2 linked regions of the Lonchura striata genome follow. The protein of the gene in region 1 interacts with the protein of each later gene in a biochemical or structural test. Links are inferred from orthologs where the notes say so. Each region holds a gene or a part of one and is shown on either strand. Other genes may lie near its edges.

Evidence for each region.
Region 2: the proteins of TJP2 (region 1) and OCLN form a complex in vitro, tested with the Homo sapiens proteins (3 studies listed by BioGRID). The link is inferred for Lonchura striata from reciprocal best matches to the Homo sapiens genes TJP2 and OCLN.

What each region holds. Positions count from the first base shown.
Region 1 is NC_134642.1:23,550,958-23,561,184, forward strand, and holds the start of TJP2 (tight junction protein 2), read right to left. Parts: upstream 4,167-10,227; 5' UTR 4,090-4,166; intron 1-4,089. UniProt on the Homo sapiens protein: Plays a role in tight junctions and adherens junctions. Acts as a positive regulator of RANKL-induced osteoclast differentiation, potentially via mediating downstream transcriptional activity.
Region 2 is NC_134630.1:7,828,711-7,838,823, forward strand, and holds the start of OCLN (occludin), read right to left. Parts: upstream 5,050-10,113; coding exon 4,342-5,049; intron 2,808-4,341; coding exon 2,649-2,807; intron 845-2,648; coding exon 686-844; intron 1-685. Other genes in the region: KCNN1 (small conductance calcium-activated potassium channel protein 1), read right to left, coding at 5,850-6,371, 6,491-6,737, 8,363-8,620. UniProt on the Homo sapiens protein: May play a role in the formation and regulation of the tight junction (TJ) paracellular permeability barrier.

The sequences.
Region 1 (10,227 bases):
CCCCTATGACAATAAAATATTTTTCTGTTTCTTTAAATGTTAAAAGTTCAACACTTGGTGCTGATGCTAGACAGCTTGGCAAAAAGGCAACCTCCTTTAAGAGCTGGGAACTGATTTCAGAAAGAGACACTGGGAATGTAGGCTGCTCGTCCAGTTTTGGAACTATCTGAACAGAGATGCCAGTTGTGCTCTTGTTTTTAAGCAAGTGTTCATGATCCTGTCATGAGAGACACTGTAGAAGTTTCTAAAAATACCATGTTGTCAAACAGCCTTTCCCCCTTCCCTTCCAGGCAATCTCTTTAGACAGCCATTTGTCATCAGCCTGCAAAATCACACAAATCAGTCAGCCCAGTCCTACTTAAATGATTCATAAATCCAATTACGTTCGCTTCTTTATATAGTAAGCTGGGCACTAACAGATTCAACCTTCAGGATTAGAGGATGTGTAGGTAGCTGACCTCTGACTCTAAGGAACTGCTCAGGAGCTCCATACATATGGTTCAAACATGCAGCTCTACACTGGAGTTGTCACAGATATGGCACAGTAATCCTAATCTCTGTCTTGGAGGGACTGGAGAAGACACCTTACATACTATCTCAACACTTGCTACCATGTGTAGAAGTGAGTCCAAAGGAGGGTCAGCAAGATGATGGGGGCTGAAGCACTGACCCTGCAAGAGGCAGCTGTGGCAGCTGGGATTTTTAGCTTGGAGGAAGGGTGGACACTCAGCAGCAGCCCATTGGTGCTGATAGAAAGGATTGAAGAGATGAGGCCAGGTTCCTAGCAGTAGTGCAAGGTGGGTAAGAGACAACGGGCCAAAGTTCAAACAAGACAGGTTCAGATGTCCATAAAGGGAAACAATTTTCCCCACGAGGACAGGCAAACCATGGACCCACTGCAGACAAGTTGTAGTCTCTGTCCTTGGAGGTTTTCAAACCCAACTGGGTGAAGCCCCAGGCAACTTGTTCTGATCTCACAGATGACCCTGTTTTGGGCACGAGGTTGCACAAGAAACCTCCTGAGGTCCCTTTCCACCTGAATTATCCTATCATTCCGGAGTTACTGCATGATTCAAGTGCCAGCTTAAAGCAGAACGAGGCAATTATTATCCTGCCCCTTGTCTCCACTTCCAAAGTACAGCTTGTGATTATGCAACATAACAATTTTGGCATGCAGCTGCAGGGTCTGGTCTGTTGTCTGTCTCTGATGTAGTGCAAGGATGAACAGCTATACACACTTTCCAAGTCTCAAAGCAGCAATACTAATGCTGTTATTTTAGAAAGTATAGATGTCCCAGGAAGAAACACAGCCCAACACACACAGCATCTCACACTTTGTACATATTTTTATGGCATAATCACACTGTCAAATCCTTTGTCACTTACGAGGCCACCTATTATGATGTTTTCAAGAGCAGAATATTGTAAATTTTTTAAACCTAGACACTGAGATTTCCTGAGACATCTCAAACTGCTAAAAAATTTAAAATATATAATTATTTAGAGCAAGAGGCAGCACTGTTCTAAGCCAATCACAAACTCAATTTTTAAGTTCACAAAAAGATTTGAAACGCACTGTTATATGCTGAAGAACTAGGAACAGCACTGGCCATTAAATGAGATACACATATATTTTCTTTTTTAAAACATATAAATATATATTAAATGTAATGTATATTTTCCTCACTGTGTTGGACAGTCATCAGTTCTACCAGATCTCACACATTACAAGTTTGCTGTGCTTTACATCAGAAGATTGTTTGCTTTGTTTGTTGCTACTTTGCTTTTGCAAAGAATATGGCAATTAGAAAACACAGATGTACAGCATATTCATAGGATAGATAAAACAGCATGAGAATATGCAGAGGTGTTTGGTAACAGTTAATAAAAATTATAGTTGTGAGAAAAAGAAATACAGTCTATTTTTTCTAACCACATTTTCATCTGAGCAACATTTTAATTACACTACAGTTCCTTGAAAATTACCCTAGTAAGGCAAGCAAATGAAATAGTTTGACATACTGCTAGAGGCAAGCAGGGTCTTAACAGTGACTCTGCTTGAATACACTATCCCCCTGCATCCCCTCCTCTACAGACTATGCAAATTGAAACAACTTTTCTTGGCAAAAGCACTTCAACCTCTACTACTTTAAGAAGCTACAAAAACTAAAACCGTTATTCTAAAGAATGAAATAACAATGCAGTGTAAACCAATCCAAATCACACAAGTGTGTGCTGTTTTCCTCTCCAGACACCATAACAAAAGTGTATATCAACACTTGAAAGGAAATCTCTTCCCAACCGCAAATTTTCCTTTTTAACTGCAGACACATTCTGTTTGAACATTCATTTTGCTTACGTCTCATTTCCTTCCTCTCTTCCCTATGTTTCTTGACTACTGGCAAGGATGTGAATAAATCCTCTGCTTTTAGCTATTTATCTGCCTCTCCCCATTAGAAGTCAAGCCCTACAACATCAAAGCTTTACCATAGTAATCAACTGTTATGGCTCCAAATTAATTAAGACAACACAATAAAGAAAACAAAAATCCCATTCTCGTGGATAACATTATTCTTATTAAAAACAAGCAAAAGAATATGCAGATTACACAAGATGTAACATACACAAAGATGTGTTACTTTTTTTCTTGATATAGGGGTTAATTTAAAAAACAAAACTCCAGACAGCAGTTCTTCAGCCAAGTTAATTCTTTAGAGCACAAAATCTATGCTTCAAAGCTCTGCCTCTTCCCATCCTATTTATACTGGCAAACCTCCTGCTGACGAGCTTATTAAGAAACAAAGCAGTTCTGCAGCCCTATTCAGAAACAGCAAGGTCCCAGCTAGGGTAATGCCCACTTTTGGGTGATGTTTTTCACAAATGACTAAAGTGAGCTGGCAATAGTCCAAAAGAGAACAGCAAGAACAATAAGGGGGAAAGCAGATGAACACAGCCATCCTGTCATTCACTTGCCAGTTCCACAACTCCTAGAAGCCCACAGATAAAGCAGCTGGATGCACCTTCTGAGCCATCTTGTCCTTGTTGATAAATGGTTCTGGAATTTCTTTTGCTAAGAGTTGAGCTCCCAACTATCCACAGTCCCTGATGTAAAGCTGGCATACCCTACCACTGAAGGTTTTTGTTTTGAGGAAAATGTCAGAGGCTGCTCAAAACCTCAGCAGAGACATTCCTGCCTAGCTACATTTCACTGATATTCTTCTATCAAATTTTCCCTCACTGCCAGAAAATTAAACAGGGAACTAGCTTTGGTTAAGTATGTCACAAATTAGAAAGTCAAAACAGCAGATATGCACATTTTTAAGTAAATTACTAAAGCAGCAATAGCTGCTTCATCTCAGAAATGGAAGTCAGTTATAGTTTTGTAAAATATCAGCATAAAAATCTTTCCCTCTCTTAAAATCATCATCTGTTAATCACTTACAAAAGCAAGCCAAGCACGTTTGATCAACACATAAAACTAAGGATGCATTTTATAGTCCTTCTGGAAGCACTTGAGAAATGGTTTCAAAAGGTTAATATGCCAAAAGGATTATATTTACCTTAATGATGTACTGTAAGAAAATATGCAGCAAAACAACTCTCCCTGTGTGGCTATTCTGTTTCCTAGGACTGGCTTGAGTCACTAAGCAACTCCCATGAATATTACCCTTTGTGCTTAAAAGTAATTTATTTATCCCCAAGTCCATGCTAAATATTTATATTTGCTGAAGACATCATCATAGATTACATCCATTCTTTACCAGTGTTTAGCTAACAGATGAACTAGTACAGGCCTGTGCATTATTATTTGCATAACTTTAGCAGAATATTGACTTCATTGGAGAAACCTCTTCTCCTCTGGAGGCCTGTTGTACATCATCAAGTTCACAGCAAATGCGCATATAACCAATTAAAATTTCTTTGATAATTCAAAAGAACTAGTTTTAATTTCACATTACTCTACTAAGTACAATTTCTTGAAACCTTATAAAAACATAGCTAAAAGAATATACACCTCAGCGATCACATGACAAGAATACACAATTTTAAATTAATGGCTAAGTCTAACTGATGCAACTTGACTGGTACCTTGGGAGGAGTGACAATTTTTGAGTGCCGTTGTCTACCTGCTGCGCTATGCTTTGGGCTTGATGTACAGCTGTGCTCCCAGTCCCACTCACAAGGAGATGGCAGCGCAGTAGTTTGCTCCCTGAAAAACAAGGTTTCGTTTAAGTCCATATAACCAAAAAGGAGTGCTTGTGAAGCCTGGAACATTGAAATCCTAGAGATAAAAGAAGATACAAAATATATTTCCCTGCTTATTTTGACATGCTTTAGCTTCCTGGGAAATCACTTGGAAGTAGTGATTGAAAAAAAGGAGATACTCAGAAATATTTACACCAAGCCTACACGCAAAGCAATGCATGCATTTTTGCCAATGAAATAGGGTATTGACAGGAAGCATACTTATAGTTACTTCGTTGCACTGGTTCTCTCCACAATCCATCTGGCTTTTTGTTTCAATTTAGTTTTGGTCTGATTGTTTAGCTTGCACAAGGCTGTACACAGGAAAGCTGTGTACAGTAACAGCATTGTATCTTGAGCATAACCTCAGTGAGAACAATCAGATACATGTGCTCCAGTGACATCAGATGGTAACTCAAGAACTTCAGTTGCCAAATTATAGAAAGAAAACAATTTCCAGTGTAATCTTCTATCCTCCTTCCCCTGCTCAGTAGGCTTCATCTACCCTTCTTGGGCACAAGTAGCATGTTAGCTTCCATTCAGCATCCCGGTCACGGGGCTCCCCCTCTCCCTGACCCCTTGTCTAGTCCTTGATTACCCTCGGTAGGAAAAGAGAAAATGAATGGTTTTACTAAGATAAAGAAGGAACTTTTGACAGAAATAGAAACACAAGCTAGCAGTTAGGGTTTGATGGTGGCTTTTGTTTTGTTTTTAAAAGAAAACCAACGTGCAACTCAGTAATTTCAATTCTTCTTTCCAAAACATCTTTCCAAGTGCTCAATTTCCAAAGAAGGATATAGCCAGACTTCCCTAGGAAAGTATATTAGTTATTTTTTCATCAGGCTTGAATTTGTTTGCCTGTTTCCATGCCCCACCCTCCCTGCCCCTCACAATGTATAGATGTTTTTTCATTATGGTTAATACTCAATTAGGCGTTTCTAGATCACTTGAGAGACATAAGAGATACTGAAAGAATTCTGCATAACTTCCCCACTGTATACAAGTCTGGCCCAAGTTTTGATGTGTCTTGTGTGTGACATCCACTTTTTCCTAAGCACAAAAGTAATGAGGTCACAGGTTCAAAAAAGCAAAATTAAAATATCTAAAATTAAAAAAAATAAAGCTGTTTCAGATTAACTTTTTACAACACGCAACAATGTGTGTTGTAAAGACATCACACCTCAAAACTAGAAGGTTATTTTGTCTTTTTTTCCCATGCTCTTCCAGCATAAAAGTATCTTTCTAAGTAAACTACAGTTTTAAATCAAGGCAGGATTTTTGAAGTTGCAGTAGAAAAAGATGCTTAACATGAGTTTATATGACCACCAAAGAGCAGCACAAGCTATACTGTGCACTCAAAACAAACTTCAGCCTTTCTAGGCTGTGCACAAAATACTATTCTGGAGGCTGCAGAAAAGTCACACAGACAAGCTAAGCCTAACTACCATTCCTACCACCATTTTACCTTTGTCAAACTTCATAAAAATCAATCTGTCACAGAAATCACATCACATCACATCAAGCAAAGACGGAAGTAGAAAAACTTAACTTTGTAATGTCTTTGATAAGAAAATATAAATTAATACCTCAGCAAAATAATGTATGTGCCTTTCCTGCTTTCTTTTGCACAGTAGTCTGGGTTTTTAAGCAGAATTCTTACAACTTTCAAGCAATGGCTCGAGCCATCACACTCCAGATGACCTGGCATCACACTCCAGTGCTATTTTTTATCTTAAGAGATGTTTAAGAAATATAAAGTGCTCAATTATGCACCTGCATTTGTGCAGTGAGGAGCTGACAAATAAGGACTCTATACCCTTTATTCAGTATTAGGTTTTGGACAGCATCTCATTATGTTACATATTTTTCCTATACACACACACTCACACTTTTATCACATTTCATTTTTACAAAGAATATAACAGAGTACCTCTAGAAGTTGATAAGCTGATCTTAGCAAAGTGCATTATTAATGTGTTTATTCCAGTCATACAGAATAAGCAATATGCAGCTACAAAAAGAACAGGTTTTTTTTTTTGTCAACTCGATTTCCTTCTACTCAATTGCTGGTTACCAACCTTTTGTTCCCTGAAAGTTCTAATAGAAACATAAAAGGGATCCCTATTACAGTCCAATGACAACAGCTTTTCCGAAACTGTTGGAATGGCAATCCAAACATAATTGGAATATATCTTAACCAGCTTGAAATTCCAAGTGTGTACAACAATCACATTAACTAAACCTCTCCCTTGATTCAAGCTGTGACTCTAGCCAGAGTAACCTACTTAAAAACAAAGAAGAATTCTACAAGAATATATATACAGGAACTTTCCAACACAGTTCCTCAAAATAGTAGGAGAAATCAGCTAACATTTTATTAATGTATAAAGAGCAGCTGTAAAAATCAGAGATTTGCATGTATATAATTTATATGGAACAACCAAAGGAAGTCACAGTACAGCATACTCCGCTGTCCTGAATCCAAATAGACTGCACTGAGAATCCCTTTTATTGGGCAAGTTTTTAACAAAAAGTGCTACAAGCACTCATTAACATGACACTGGAAATTTAGAACCAACATGAAGAACACTTTTGTTAATAAAAAGACACAAAACCATTTCTATCAGTGTATTTTCTAGACCAGTTTTTATGGTTCTGGTGATAGATCTGAAAGAAAAAGATAGTGATTTATTGCTTTTACTGTTGCTGCCACCATTAAAGAAAGCAAAATTGTGGAGAAATTATAAGATAAATCTGAATGCAGTTATAGTCAAACAGCCACAATTATAATCCAAGTTTTTCTTTGAAGCCTTGTTTACACAGAACCAATAGGAACATGCTAATTGGTCTTGGACAAAAGCCACTCATATTTTGCACTCCTCTGCAATGTCTGAAACAAGGTGACAACATTCTAATGTATTACAAAAATACAAGAGATCAGAAGGACTCTAAAGACACCCATCCATCCATGCTACTCATACAGGGGCAGGTGGAAGAGAGTGACAACTCTGTTTTCCACACAACATATGTTTTTGGTGGAAACAGTTACATACACAAAGATTTTTCTGAAGCTTAATACTTAAGTGTATGGTACAAGAAAGCACTCCGAATTGTTTTTAACAACAATCAGAAAAGTCTTCTTGTAGGGAAACAGTATTCCTAAGTATTATGAACTCTTCCTCCTAAGCAGAGAAGTAAAGTTGCCTGCAAAGAAAAAAGTGATTTTTCTTTTCCCATTTTAGGAACTGCTTCTCTGACAGATAAAAATTAAAATATGTATATTTTAAATGAGGAGAGGGGAAACACAGACATACATCAAGTTAGTAGCAAGCAAAAAATACAAAATAGCCATTTCATTTCTGTTCTGATGAGTATACATGTATTTATTGTTCCTGTTCTTCAGCAAACTCGTAATTTAGAAATAACACCTTCTTCTAGTTATTTCTCTAGTCAAGGACTGGTAGTACACAGAAATCTCTAATGAAACCACTAAGTTCAACCACAACTACTGAAGATACAAAACTTGGACAGTACAAAAAAAGATCACCTGTTTTATTAATAACTCTCCTCTTTCTGATAACAAGTTTTAAAAATGCATGATTCAAGGTGAGCACAGTTTTTCCCATAGTTACTCACTAATTGCTTTTTAACACTTACCCTGGATGTTGCCACAGATTTGCATGTCTACCCTCAGGAAGCAGCTCCCTCTTGTTAAGGGGAGTAACACCTATTGCTGCTTCTAAAATAGTTATGTATTTCTTGTATCGCATCCTGCCTGTCTCAAGACTTCCACCACACTAAGTTATCATCCAAATGCAGATGCTGCAACTGAAGCCATGCCTCTTCACTGATTTGAAATGCTGCTTTTTAAAACATGCTGCCACTTTGAAGCACAAAAACAATGCTTTTTCTCCTCTCCCAGGCTAGAATAGTTAGCAGAAGAGAGAGAGAAACCAAAGAAAAACTCCTACCAGATTCCCCAGAAACGTCATTGTTACGTAATTCAATCTTTGAATAAGACACTAATGAAAATGATTGAAGAGACAATCACGGTTCTAAGCCTGGCCGGATAATGCACACTCTACAATTGACTAATCCTTTGCTAAATCTCTGCTGTCTATAATCTTTCAACTGCTAATGGAGCACTAGGTAACTTCTCTGTCAAATCCATCCAGGGAATAAAAGAGATCTGCACAGAAATCTTGAGACCATTTTAGACAGTGACAGCCAAAAATAGCTTTTGCCTTAACTTTTCTCACCAGAAAGCACCAGAGCACCAGAAAGCTCTCTATGTTAGAAGTGTCACAAGGGATTTAGCTGATCTACTCAGAAAAGGCATGGAGAAATATTTCCTTACATGGCTTGTGCAGAATTAAGAAAGATATAGACTCCCATTATGATACCTTCCAGTCATTCAAATGTGGCTCCCAATGATGCCAGAAGCCACATCCCATGTCAGAATTGCTCTAGCCATGAGGTAAGGAACTGCGTGTGCCGAAGACATCAGGTATGAACTACAACACTGGAGACAGTGTTGAAAGAAGTAACGGTGACATTTTAGAAACACTCTAGTACTGTCAAATTGCAATATTCAAAGAGATGTACTTGATTGCAAAGCTAATCAAGGAAATGTTGATGTAATGCTTCTTAGTAAGAAATGAATGCATTTATATATATATATATATATATATAGATAAAGGTATATATAACACATAGTTACATATATAAGTTGCATAATATATAAATATTATGCACTTAGGCAGTAATAGAGATAAAAACATAGAAAGAAGAGATGTGACAGAAAGACTGAAGCCTAGAACCACAACTTCCTCTATAAACTGTGCATATTACTTATTTCCTGGTCCTATTAGGCATGTGTGTATTTCTGTTGAGGTGATATCATATTACATGTTACTTATTTAGAAATTAAGATGATTTCTTGTGCTGTAAAATATTTAGCTCTTAATAACAACATTTGTATAACTATTTCCAGATTCTACATTACTTACAATCCTGCATTAGCCATATTTGGTGTTTAATATCCAATCACATTTGTAGGCTATTTTAGCACATGCACGCACTGAACTATCTCAAGTAATTACTAAAGAAATCCATGTGACTGATCTTATAAGAGCAAAATAAAATCAAGCATCTTTTAGATTCAGAGACTAGCACTACAATTGTCAGAGGAACATGCTGATAAGGAGTATGTAGTCTGAAATGTAGTGATATGTTAAAAAAATAATTAATATATTAAAAGCACATGAATTAAATTAAGCAAAAAATTACTTTTCCGTGTGCAAAAAAAAAATCACTTAACTACAACTTTAAACATCTGTATACAAAGCATTAAGAAGCTTAGGAAAGCAGAGTAGTACTAGGAGCCTAGCAAGCACAGCTAACGTCATTAAGCCTGCAGGCATCCTGACTTCTGATAGATCTTTGGTAGATCTACCATAAAGGTTGTACTGAGAAAGAAAAGACAAGACAAGTGAGCAGTTTTTGACAATTCCAGTACTTAAGGATCTCCTGACTGTAGAAGTTCATGACAGTTATATTTTACTCAAAAGCAGAAACACTTCTTTAAACTTTCCCCTTACAGATCAAAGAAATAGTTCTTTAAAAAACCTTCCCACAGGAGTTTTCAAAGCCAGTCCTATGCAAAGTCTGAAAGTATTAAGTGCAGCTCTAGCCCATCTTCTGTCCCTTTGTGCAAAGCATATTAATTCTGACCAGAAAAGGAGCCCCATGACTAGTGTTGCATACAGGGAAGCCAAGCCCACACAATAAACACAAGTTACACCCAAGTACTGCTTTCGTTTAAATGGCATGTGAAACCTCCAGGTATCCAGAGGGAGAGAGGCTGACTCACAGTTAATCAACTTCCTTCAACTTTATTTAGAAACAGAAATTCAAAGCTGCTAGTACGCAGACTGTTACTGAAGAATGACTTTGTAGAGCAAACAAAAAGTCTAAAACAGA
Region 2 (10,113 bases), on another chromosome or scaffold:
CGGACACGGGACACGGGGACACGGGGACACGGGACACGGGGACACGGGGACACGGGGACACGGGGACACCGGACACGGGGACACGGGGACACGGGGACACGGGGACACGGGGACACGGGGACACAGCGGCATCGGACACGGGGACACGGGGACACGGGACACGGGGACACGGGGACACGGGGACACGGGGACACCGGACACGGGGACACGGGGACACCGGACACGGGGACACGGGGACACGGCGGCATCGGACACGGGGACACGGGACACGGGGACACCGGACACGGGGACACGGCCCTGGGGGGTTCTCCCCTTTCCCGGCCCCTCAGACCCTTCCCCACCCTCTCCCGACTCCTCCCCTTATTTCCCGAACCCCCCGTCCTTTTCCCATCCCCTCCCCACATTTCCCGACCCCTCCCACATTTCCCTAATTTTCCCGACCCCTTCCCACATTCCCCACCCCTTTCCTGCCCCTTCCCACTTTTTCCACCCCTTTCCTGACCCCTCTCCAAATTTCCCAACTCCCCCATCCTTTTCCCGACCCCTCCTCTCATTTCCCTCCCTCTTTTGCCCCTTCCCCACTTTTTCCACCCCTTTCCTGCCCCTTCCCCAAATTTCCCACCCTTTTCCTCCCTTTTCTCCCCCTTCCCCACCCCTTTTCCCGACCCCTCCCCACATTCCCCACCCCTTTTCCCCCTCCCCACCTTTTCCAGCCCTTCTGGGGGGGGTCGCTGTACGCGGGGGGGCTGTAGGGTGGGGCTGGCCCGGGGGTCTCGCCCTTCTCCGAGTACGCGACCGTGGCGGCCTCGTCTGGAACGCTCGTCCCGCCCGACACGTTCTTCACCTGGAGAACGGGTTGGGATTTGGGATTTCGGGAGGAAAAACTCAGCCGGGATAAAGGAGAAATCGGCGAGAAACGCCCCGAGAAAAGTCCCTGAGAATTGCACCGAAATTCCCAGAGAAATCCCTGAAAGTTCCCTGAAAATCCACCAAGAAATCCCTGAGAATTCCCTGAAAAATCTGACAGAAAATCCATAGGAAACAGAGGTTTTTGTCCCACCTGGAGTCCCCCAAATCCTTCAGGCACATCCCCAAAAATCCCAAAACCCAGAAACCCCAAAAACTCCAGAAACCCCCAAAACCAAAACCACCAAAAAAAACCAATACAAAAAAAACAACAAAAAACCCACCACCAAAAAAACAACAAACCCAGAAACCCCAAAAAACCCAAAAGGCCAAAAGCCCAAAACCCCCGTGAAGAAACTGGGACAAAGGGACAAAGGGACAAAGGGACAAAGGGACAAAGGGACAAAGGGACAAAGGACGAAGGGACGAGGGGACAAAGGGACAGAGCTCGGGGTTGGTGGCACCCTCAGGGTGGCACCCAGCAGGTTCGGGGTGGCCCCGCAGAGGGACAAGGGACGTCCGGCTGTCCCCTGTCCCCTTCCGTCCGGCCCTTTGTGGGTTGTTTGTGCCGGACGCCGGTCCCCGCCGGCTTGGTGGCCTTGGGGACATCCGGCCGGACACGCCACTTCCTCCCCCGTCCCCTCCCGGGGGCCGCCAGGTGTGTCCCCAAGCCGTGGTGGCATCTGGGGACTCAGATGTCCCAAAAGGGGGTGACACCCCAAAAAAGCGCGGGGGAGGTGGCAGGCGGGGGTGTTATCTGCGGGTGGCACCTGCGGGTGGTGGCGTGTCCCCAAAAGGGACGGGAAATGTTCATCCAGGGAGGGGCCTGGAGCAAATAAACCCAAAGGAACCCAAACAAACGGGGCGAGAGCACAATGGGAAAGAAAATAAATCAGATTAAATCACCAAAAAATCCAATCAAATCAAAAGCGACGCAGGGAGCGCGGCCCCAGGGAAACCGGGATGGGAGTGGTGGCACGGGGACACAGGGGACAGGGGTGGGGACAGGGACAGGACTGGGGGCAGGGATGGTGACACAGGACAGGGATGGGGACACAGGGGACAGGGATGGGGACAGGGGTGGGGACAGGGATGGGGACACAGGGGACAGGGGTGGGGACACAGGGGAGAGGGACAGGGATGGGGACAGGGGTGGGGACACAGGGATGGGGACAGGGATGGGGACACAGGACAGGGATGGTGACACAGGAGACAGGGATGGGGACACAGGGGACAGGGAATGGGGACAGGAACAGGAATGGGGACACGGGACAGGGATGGTGACATGGGACAGGGACAGGGCTGTCCCCTAAGCCACTGTCCCAAGCCTTCCCGCGGGAGCGCTGTGACATTCCCACCCCGCCCCGGGCCAGCCCAGCAGGTGACACAAGCCCGGGATGTCCCCAAGGTCCCCGTCCCGGTGCCACCACTCCGGCTTTTCCCGGTGCCACCTCCCGGTTAATCATTGGCCAGACCGAAACCGCGCGCGGCGCCCCGCGGTGTCACCTGGCAGTGTCCCCAAGCCCTCTTGGAGTCCCCAAACTCCCCCCGAAGTCCCCAAAATGCCCCTAAAATCCCCAAATCCCCCTAAATCCACTCCCGGTGCCCCCAAATCCCCCAAACTTCCCTTTGCACCCATCCCAAACTTGGGGATTTCCAGCCCCGCTGGAAAAGGGGCGGGAAGGACCCCCCGGATCCCATTCCCAGCATTCCCCAAACCCCCCAAATCCCCAAAATCTCACCCACTCCTCCACGTCGGGGCCCTGGCGGCCGGCCGGGAGGCGATCCCAATAAATGTTGTGTTTTCCGTACTTCCAGATCTTGCTGCGGGTTTTGTGCGCGAAGAGGCAGATGAGGCACAGCAGCAGCACCATCAGGAAGCCGCAGGCGATGGCCACGGCCTGGGAATGCGGGAGTCGGGAATTCCGGGAATTCCGGGAATTCGGGATTTGGGGGTTCTGGCGCCGCTGCTCTCAGCCCGGGAGTCCCCGCCGCAGGGGATGAGCCCGATCCCAAAGATTCTCTCTGTGCTTCCCAAATCCTAAACCTTCCCGAATCCCAAACATTCCCAAACCCCAAACCTTCCTGAATCCCAAATCCCAAACCTTTCCCTGTCCTTCCCAAATCTCTAATTTGGGATTTGAAAAGTTTTGGAATTCAGAAAGGACGGGAAATGAAGGTTTGGGATTTGGGAAGGATGGGGATTTGAGAAGGACAGGGAAGATTTGGGATTCAGGAAGGTTTAGGATTTGGGAAAGTCTGGGATTGAGGAGGGTTTGGGATTTAGAAAGGCCATGGAAAGTTTTGGGGTTTGGGAAGGATGGGCAGGATCTGGGGGCCCCCGGTGCCAGCCCCGGGCCCCCATCCAGAGCCGGCCCCATCCCCGTTCCGGCCCCATCCCGAGCCGGTCCCGGGCGGCCCCGGGCGCTCCCGGTCCCACCGGCCGGGCTGGAAGCGCCGCATTCCAGTTCCAGCCCCGCCGGGGGGAGCGGCCCCGGCGGGCCCGGCCAGGGACGGGACCGGGACCGGGACCTGAACCGAGACCGGGACCGGGATGGAAAGCGGGATCGGGATCCCGGGAATGATTTGGGATCGCTGCAGTTTGGGGCTGGCGCGGGGAAGAGCGGGGGTGGGGGGGTGAGCGAGGGGGCGGGGCTGATTCCTGAATCCCAGTTTTTTTCTCTGTCCTACCCAAGTTCCTGAATCTCAAACCCCAAACCCCAAACCTGTTCCCCTCTGGTAGTCCCCATCCCCATCCCGGTAGTTCCCCTCCCGGTAGTCCCTGTCCCCTCCCGGTAGTCCCCATCCCCATCCCGGTGGTCCCCATCCCCTCCAGTAGTCCCCATCCCCTCCGGTAGTCCCCATCCCGGTAGTTCCCCTCCCGGTGGTCCCCATCCCCTCCAGTAGTCCCCATCCCCTCCCGGTAAGTCCCCGTCCCCTCCCGGTAGTCCCCATCCCCTCCGGTAGTCCCCATCCCCTCCGGTAGTCCCCATCCCCTCCGGTAGTCCCCATCCCCTCCAGTAGTCCCCATCCCCTCCGGTAGTCCCCATCCCCTCCGGTAAGTCCCCGTCCCCTCCCGGTAGTCCCCCTCCCGGTAGTCCCCATCCCCATCCCGGTAGTCCCCATCCCCTCCGGTAGTCCCCGTCCCCTCCCGGCGGTCCCCATCCCCTGCGGTTGTCCCCATCCTCTCCCGGTAGTCCCCATCCTCATCCCGGTAGTCCCCATCCCTTCCCGGTAAATCCCTGTCCCCTCCCGGTAATCGCCATCCCGGTGGTCCCCATCCCATCCCGGTGGTCCCCATCCCCTCCCGGTAGTCCCCTCCCGGTGGTCCCCGTCCCCTCCCGGTGGTCCCCGTCCCCTCCCGGCGGTCCCCTCCCGGTGGTCCCCGTCCCCTCCCGGCGGTCCCCCTCCCGGTGGCCCGCTGGCCCCGCTCACCTCCTGCGGGTCCACGGTGCAGTAGTGGTACAGGTACTGGTTGAGCACGGCGCCGCCGGCGTACACCTGGTTGCACATGGCTAGCAGCGGGCTGTAGTAGTAGCCGCCGCTCATCTGCGCCTGCGGGTTGACCCCCACCACGTAGACGATGCTGGCCACCAGCACGAGCAGGGCCAGCACGGCGCTCACCACCGTGACCGCCAGGTAAAAGCGGCGCGACCGCGACCCGCTGGACTTGCTCAGGCTGGCTACCAAGAGCCCCAGCTGGGCGAGGAAGCAGAGCACGGCCGCGGCGATCATGAAGCCGTTGGCCGCCCGCGGGCTGGCGGCGCCGTAGCCGTAGTAGCCGCCGTAGCCGTAGCCGTAGCCCAGCCCGCCGCCGTAGTAGCCCGAGCCGTAGTAGCCGCCCGGGCCGGCGGCCAGCGCGCCGCCGTAGCCGTAGCCGTAGTCCCAGGCCAGCGTGGAGGCCACGCAGGCGAACACGGCCACGCAGAGCAGCAGCACCGCGGCCGCCAGCAGCCGCACCAGCCCCGGCGGCGAGCACCAGCGGTAGAAATGCTGCGGGGCGTCCTCCGCGTAGTAGGAGCCCGGCGGCGGCGAGCGGGCCCCGAAGTCGTAGCCGTAGTCGCCCGCGGGTGGCCCGTAGGAGGTGGCCGGGGGTGGCCCGTAGCCGCCGGCGGGGCCGTCGGAGAGTTTCTTGGGGAACATCCCTGCGGGGGACGAGGGGACAGAGCCGCTCGCGGAGGGTTTTGTCACGGTTTTGGCACCCGCGGAGGGTGGCAAGGGAAGGACTTTGGTCCCTTTGTCGCCGTCGCCGCCCAGCCGGAGTTACCGCGGGGAAACTGAGGCAGGGAGTCGCCACCCGGAGTGGGAGTCGCCAAAAAGGCTTGGAGGTCCCACAAAAACAAACGAACAAACCTGGGAAATTTCCCACAAAAGAACCCTGGAGTCCCCCACAAAAAAAACCACATGGAGACCCCACAAAAAGATCTTGGAGCTCCCACAAAAAAACCTTGGAGACCCCACAAAAAAAACCTTGGAGACCCCACAAAAAACACCTGGAAAAACGCCCCCCAAAAGTGTCTCGGAGACCACCCCCAAAAAAGCCTCGGAGCACGCCCATAAAAAACCTTGGAGACCCCAGGAACAAATCCGGAGACCCTCCCTCCCAAAAAAAAAAAAACAAACCTGGAGACACCTCCCCACAAAAACCTTGGAGACGCCCCAGAAGTTCCATGGGGAAACTGAGGCACGGAGTCACCGCGGGTTTACGTGGGTAAACTGAGGCACGGTGAGTCACCAGCCGGTGCCACCCCAGCCACGCCGGACTCTCGGTGTCACCTCCCTGTCCCCACAGCCCGGAGGTGGCAGGGAATTAATCGGGATTTTTGGAATTCCCGAATGGGAAGCGGCGGGGGGTTGAGGGGGGCCGAGCTGATCCCGGATTAAAAATCGAAATAATCGCAATAAAAAATCAAAATAATTCCAAACCACGACAATTCCGGAGGTCACGTGAGGCAGAGCCGCGAGGAAAATTTGGGGGGGGGTCTTAAAATCAGCAAAATGAACGTGGGGCCCCCCGCGGGACACGCAGAGACCCCCAAAAATCCCCAGAGCCCCGCGGGAAAGGCGAATTCCTGAGGGAAAGGCAAAGCGGGCGCCCGCTCCGGTGGTACCGGGGCTCGGGGGCAGTTCTGGGGCTGCCCAAGGGTCCCGTTCCCGATCCCGTCGATCCGCAATGCCCCGGTCCCGGCTGGATCCCCCGGTTTGACCCCACCGGGGACCCCCGGGACCCGCAGCGGCGACCGGAGCCGGCGGGGACGGGACCGGAGGCTCGGGGGTCCCGGCCCGCTGTGGGGACACGGGAGGAGCCGCGGGGCCGGCTCCGGTACCGGGGGGAGCACGGAGGGGAGCTCGGCGGTGTCGGGGAGCCCGGTACCGGTACGGAGCCGGTACCCCGGTACCGCTCTGGAGTCCGGTACCGCTGCGGAGCCGGTGGGGACCCGGTACCGCTTTGGAATCCGGTACCGCTGCGGAGCCGGTGGGGACCCGGTACCGCTTTGGAATCCGGTGGCGGGGACCCGGGTGCCGGTGAGGAGTCGGTACCGCTCTGGAGCCCCGTGGCCGGTTCCGGTGCGGCCCGCGGTACCGGAGAGAAGCCCGGCGGGGCCCCCGGTGCCTCGGGGAAGGAGGAACCCGCCCGTTCCCAGCGGGGAACGGAGACCCCCGGCGCTCCCTCCCGCTCCGGTACCGCCGTCTCCCCGCGCTGCCGGTGCCGGTGCCGGTACCGGGAGCTGCCGGTACCGCGGAGCCGCTCACCTGCCGCCTCCTCCGCCGCTTTGTTCACCTTAAAATGGCAGCCGGGAGCGGCGGAGGCGGCGGCGGCGGCGGCGGCGCTGCGGGACCGGCCCCGGGTCCCGCCCCCGGGGAGGCGGGGGAAGCACCGGGCACGGAGGGGTTAAAAAACGGGGCGGGGCAGCAGCGGGGGAGCCCCGGGGAGGTTTGGGGGGAAAAGGGGAAATTGGGGGAAAAAGGGGAAATTGGGGAAAAGGGGAAATTGGGGGGAAAAGGGGAAATTGGGGGAAAAAGGGGAAATTGGGGGGGAAAGGGGAAATTGGGGGGAAAAAGGGGAAATTCGGGGGAAAAGGGGAAATTCGGGGGGAAAAGGGGAAATTGGGGGGAAAAAGGGGAAATTGGGGAGGGAAGGGGAAAATTGGGGGAAAAATGGGAAATTGGGGGGGAAAAGGGGAAATTGGGGGAAAAAGGGGAAATTGGGGGAAAAAGGGGAAATTGGGGAGGAAAGGGGAAATTGGGGGAAAAGTGGAAATTCGGGGGGAAAAGGGGAAATTGGGGGGAAAAGGGGAAATTGGGGGAAAAGGGGAAATTGGGGGAAAAAGGGGAAATTGGGGAGGAAAGGGGAAATTGGGGGAAAAGGGGAGATTCGGGGAAAAGGGGAAATTGGGGAGGAAAGGGGAAATTGGGGGGAAAAGGGGAAATTGGGGGGAAAAGGGGAAATTGGGGGGAAAAGGGGAAATTGGGGTCAGGAGAGTCCCCAAAGGGCGGGGGGGCAGCTCCGGGTCGGGCCGACCCCCCCCAAAAACAAACCGTGCAGACGTTTTTGTGTTAATTACCAAACATAATTAATGAATTAAGTAATGTTGAATTACTGCAGCTCCCGCGGGGGGAGGGGGCACAAAGGTGGCGGGGCCTCCCCAAAAACCCCGAACCGAGGGGTGGGGGTGGCTCGGGGGGTGTCCCCGACTGTCCCCGGCTCTCTCCGGATGTCCCCGATTGTCGCGGCTCCGCTGGCCCGGGAACGGGATGGATCGTCCGGCGGCGGTGACGCCTCTGGGGACAGCTGGGGACATCTCTGAGGACAGCTGGGGACACCTTTGGGGACACCTTTGGGGACAGCTGGGGACACCTGGGGACGCCTTTGGGGACACCTGGGGACAGCTGGGGACGCCTCTGGGGACACCTTTGGGGACACCTTTGGGGACACCTGGGGACAGCTGGGGACACCTGGGGACACTTGGGGACACCTGGGGACACCTCTGGGGACACCTGGGGACACCTTTGGGGACACTTTTGGGGACACAACCTCCGGCCATGGTGACACCTCTGGGGACATCTGGGGACACCTGGGGACGACTTTGGGGACATCTGGGGACACCTGGGGACACCTCTGGGGACACCTGGGGACACCTTTGGGGACACCTCTGGGGACACCTGGGGACACCTGGGGACACCTTTGGGGACACCTCTGGGGACATCTGGGGACGCCTTTGGGGACACCTTTGGGGACATCTGGGGACACCTGGGGACACCTCTGGGGACACCTCTGGGGACACCTTTGGGGACACCTTTGGGGACATCTGGGGACGCCTTTGGGGACACCTTTGGGGACACCTTTGGCTGGGAAACAGCCACGGGTGACGCTCAGGGACCCCGTGTCCCCTCCTGTCCCCCTGCCAGCCCCGGGGGACAATGGCCACTGTCCCCTCCCCGCCACCGCCCTCACCTGCCCGTCGCATGGGGAGGGGACACACGCGACCCCCGGGCACAGCGCGATGTCCCCCGGCTGCTCCCCGGTGCCACCGGCGGTGCCACCAGCGGTGCCACCAGCGGTGCCACCAGAGGTGCCACCAGCGGTGTCACCGGTGCCACCGGCGGTGCCACCGCCGCCGGGCACCGCGCGTTAATCATTGACAGCCTCAGTTTCCCCCGATTGTCGCACGGGGCCACCACCTCCCCACCCCCCTGAGCGTTCCCAACGCTTCTGGGGCCGCGGGGCCCCAAAAAGGGTCAGGGGTCCCCCAAAATCCGCCCCGAAACCTCAAAAATCCCCCCAAATCTGTTCCAAACCCCCAAAAATCCCCCCAAATCTGCTCCAAAACCTCAAAACCCCCCAAATGCACTCCAAAACCTCAAAAATCCCCCCGAACCCCCTAAATTCTCTTCCAAATCACAATAATCCCCCCAAATCCTTAAAAGTCCCCCCAAATCTCCCCAAATCCACCCCCAAAATCCTAAAAATCTCCCCAAATCCCCTAAAATCCTCCCCAACACCCCAAAAATCCCTACAAAACCGCTCCAAAATTTCCTCCAAACCACCCTAAAATGCCCCAAATCCCCCCAAAGCCCCCCAAATCCCCCCAGACCCTCCAGGTCAAGCAGAGAGCGACACGTCCAGTTCAGGCTCCTTTAATTTGCGCCTCAGCCCCCCCCAAAACTGCCCCAAAAAACTCCAAATTCCCCCAAACCCCCCCAGCTCCGCGGGTGGAGCAGAACCGGACCCGGGGGGGGTCCAGGGCTGTGGGGAGGGGTCCTGACCCACCCCGGGGGTCGGGGATGGGCTCAGTATTGCATCCAGGGGTGCCCCCCCAAACCCACCCACCCCCATTTTCCAGCTGGGGGAAACTGAGGCACAGAGAGGTGACGTCTCCAAGGTCACTTTGGGGGCGGAGCCAGGAATGGAGAAACCCTCCCCCCCCCAAAAATACACCCCCACCCCCATTTTGGGGGTCACCACGGGGGTCTCTCTTTCCCCCTCCCCCCCTCCGAGCCCCCCCACCCAGTCCCCAAATTTTAGACCCACCCCCCCAAAACCGCTCAGGGCTCCTGGATTGTCCCCCCCGTCCCCTCCCCTCTCCCAGCCCCCCCCCAAAAAAGCTCAGCTCGGCTCCCCTTGTTTGGGGGGTGCCGGGGGTTCCCGGGGGGTCCGAGGGGATCTGGGGGGGCCCTGGGGGGGTTTTGGGGGGCCCAGCACAGTGAACGCAGGAGGTTTTTATACGGAGCTTTCCAGAACAAAGCTACGGGCACGGCCACACGATGGCCAGAGATAAACACGGGGACCCCCGCACCCCGAAACCGGGAGGCACGAAGGGCTCTGAGACCCCCCCAAACCCCAAAACCGGGGGGCACAAAGGGCTCTGAGACCCCCCCCGCACCCCGAAACCGGGGGGCACAAAGGGCTCTGCGACCCCCCCAAACCCCAAAACCGGGGGGCACAAAGGGCTCTGAGACCCCCCCCAAACCCCAAAACCGGGGGGCACAAAGGGCTCTGCGACCCCCCCCCCGCACCCCAAAACCGGGGGGCACAAAGGGCTCTGCGACCCCCCCGCACCCCGAAACTGCCCTCACAGCGTGGGGGGACACAAAGGGGTCTGGGGGTGTCCCCAACCTCCCCCCCCCCCATTATGCACAGCCCAAAGTTGGGGGGGGTGACAGAGGGGACATTGGGGTGTCCCCAAATTGGGGTGTCCCCACACT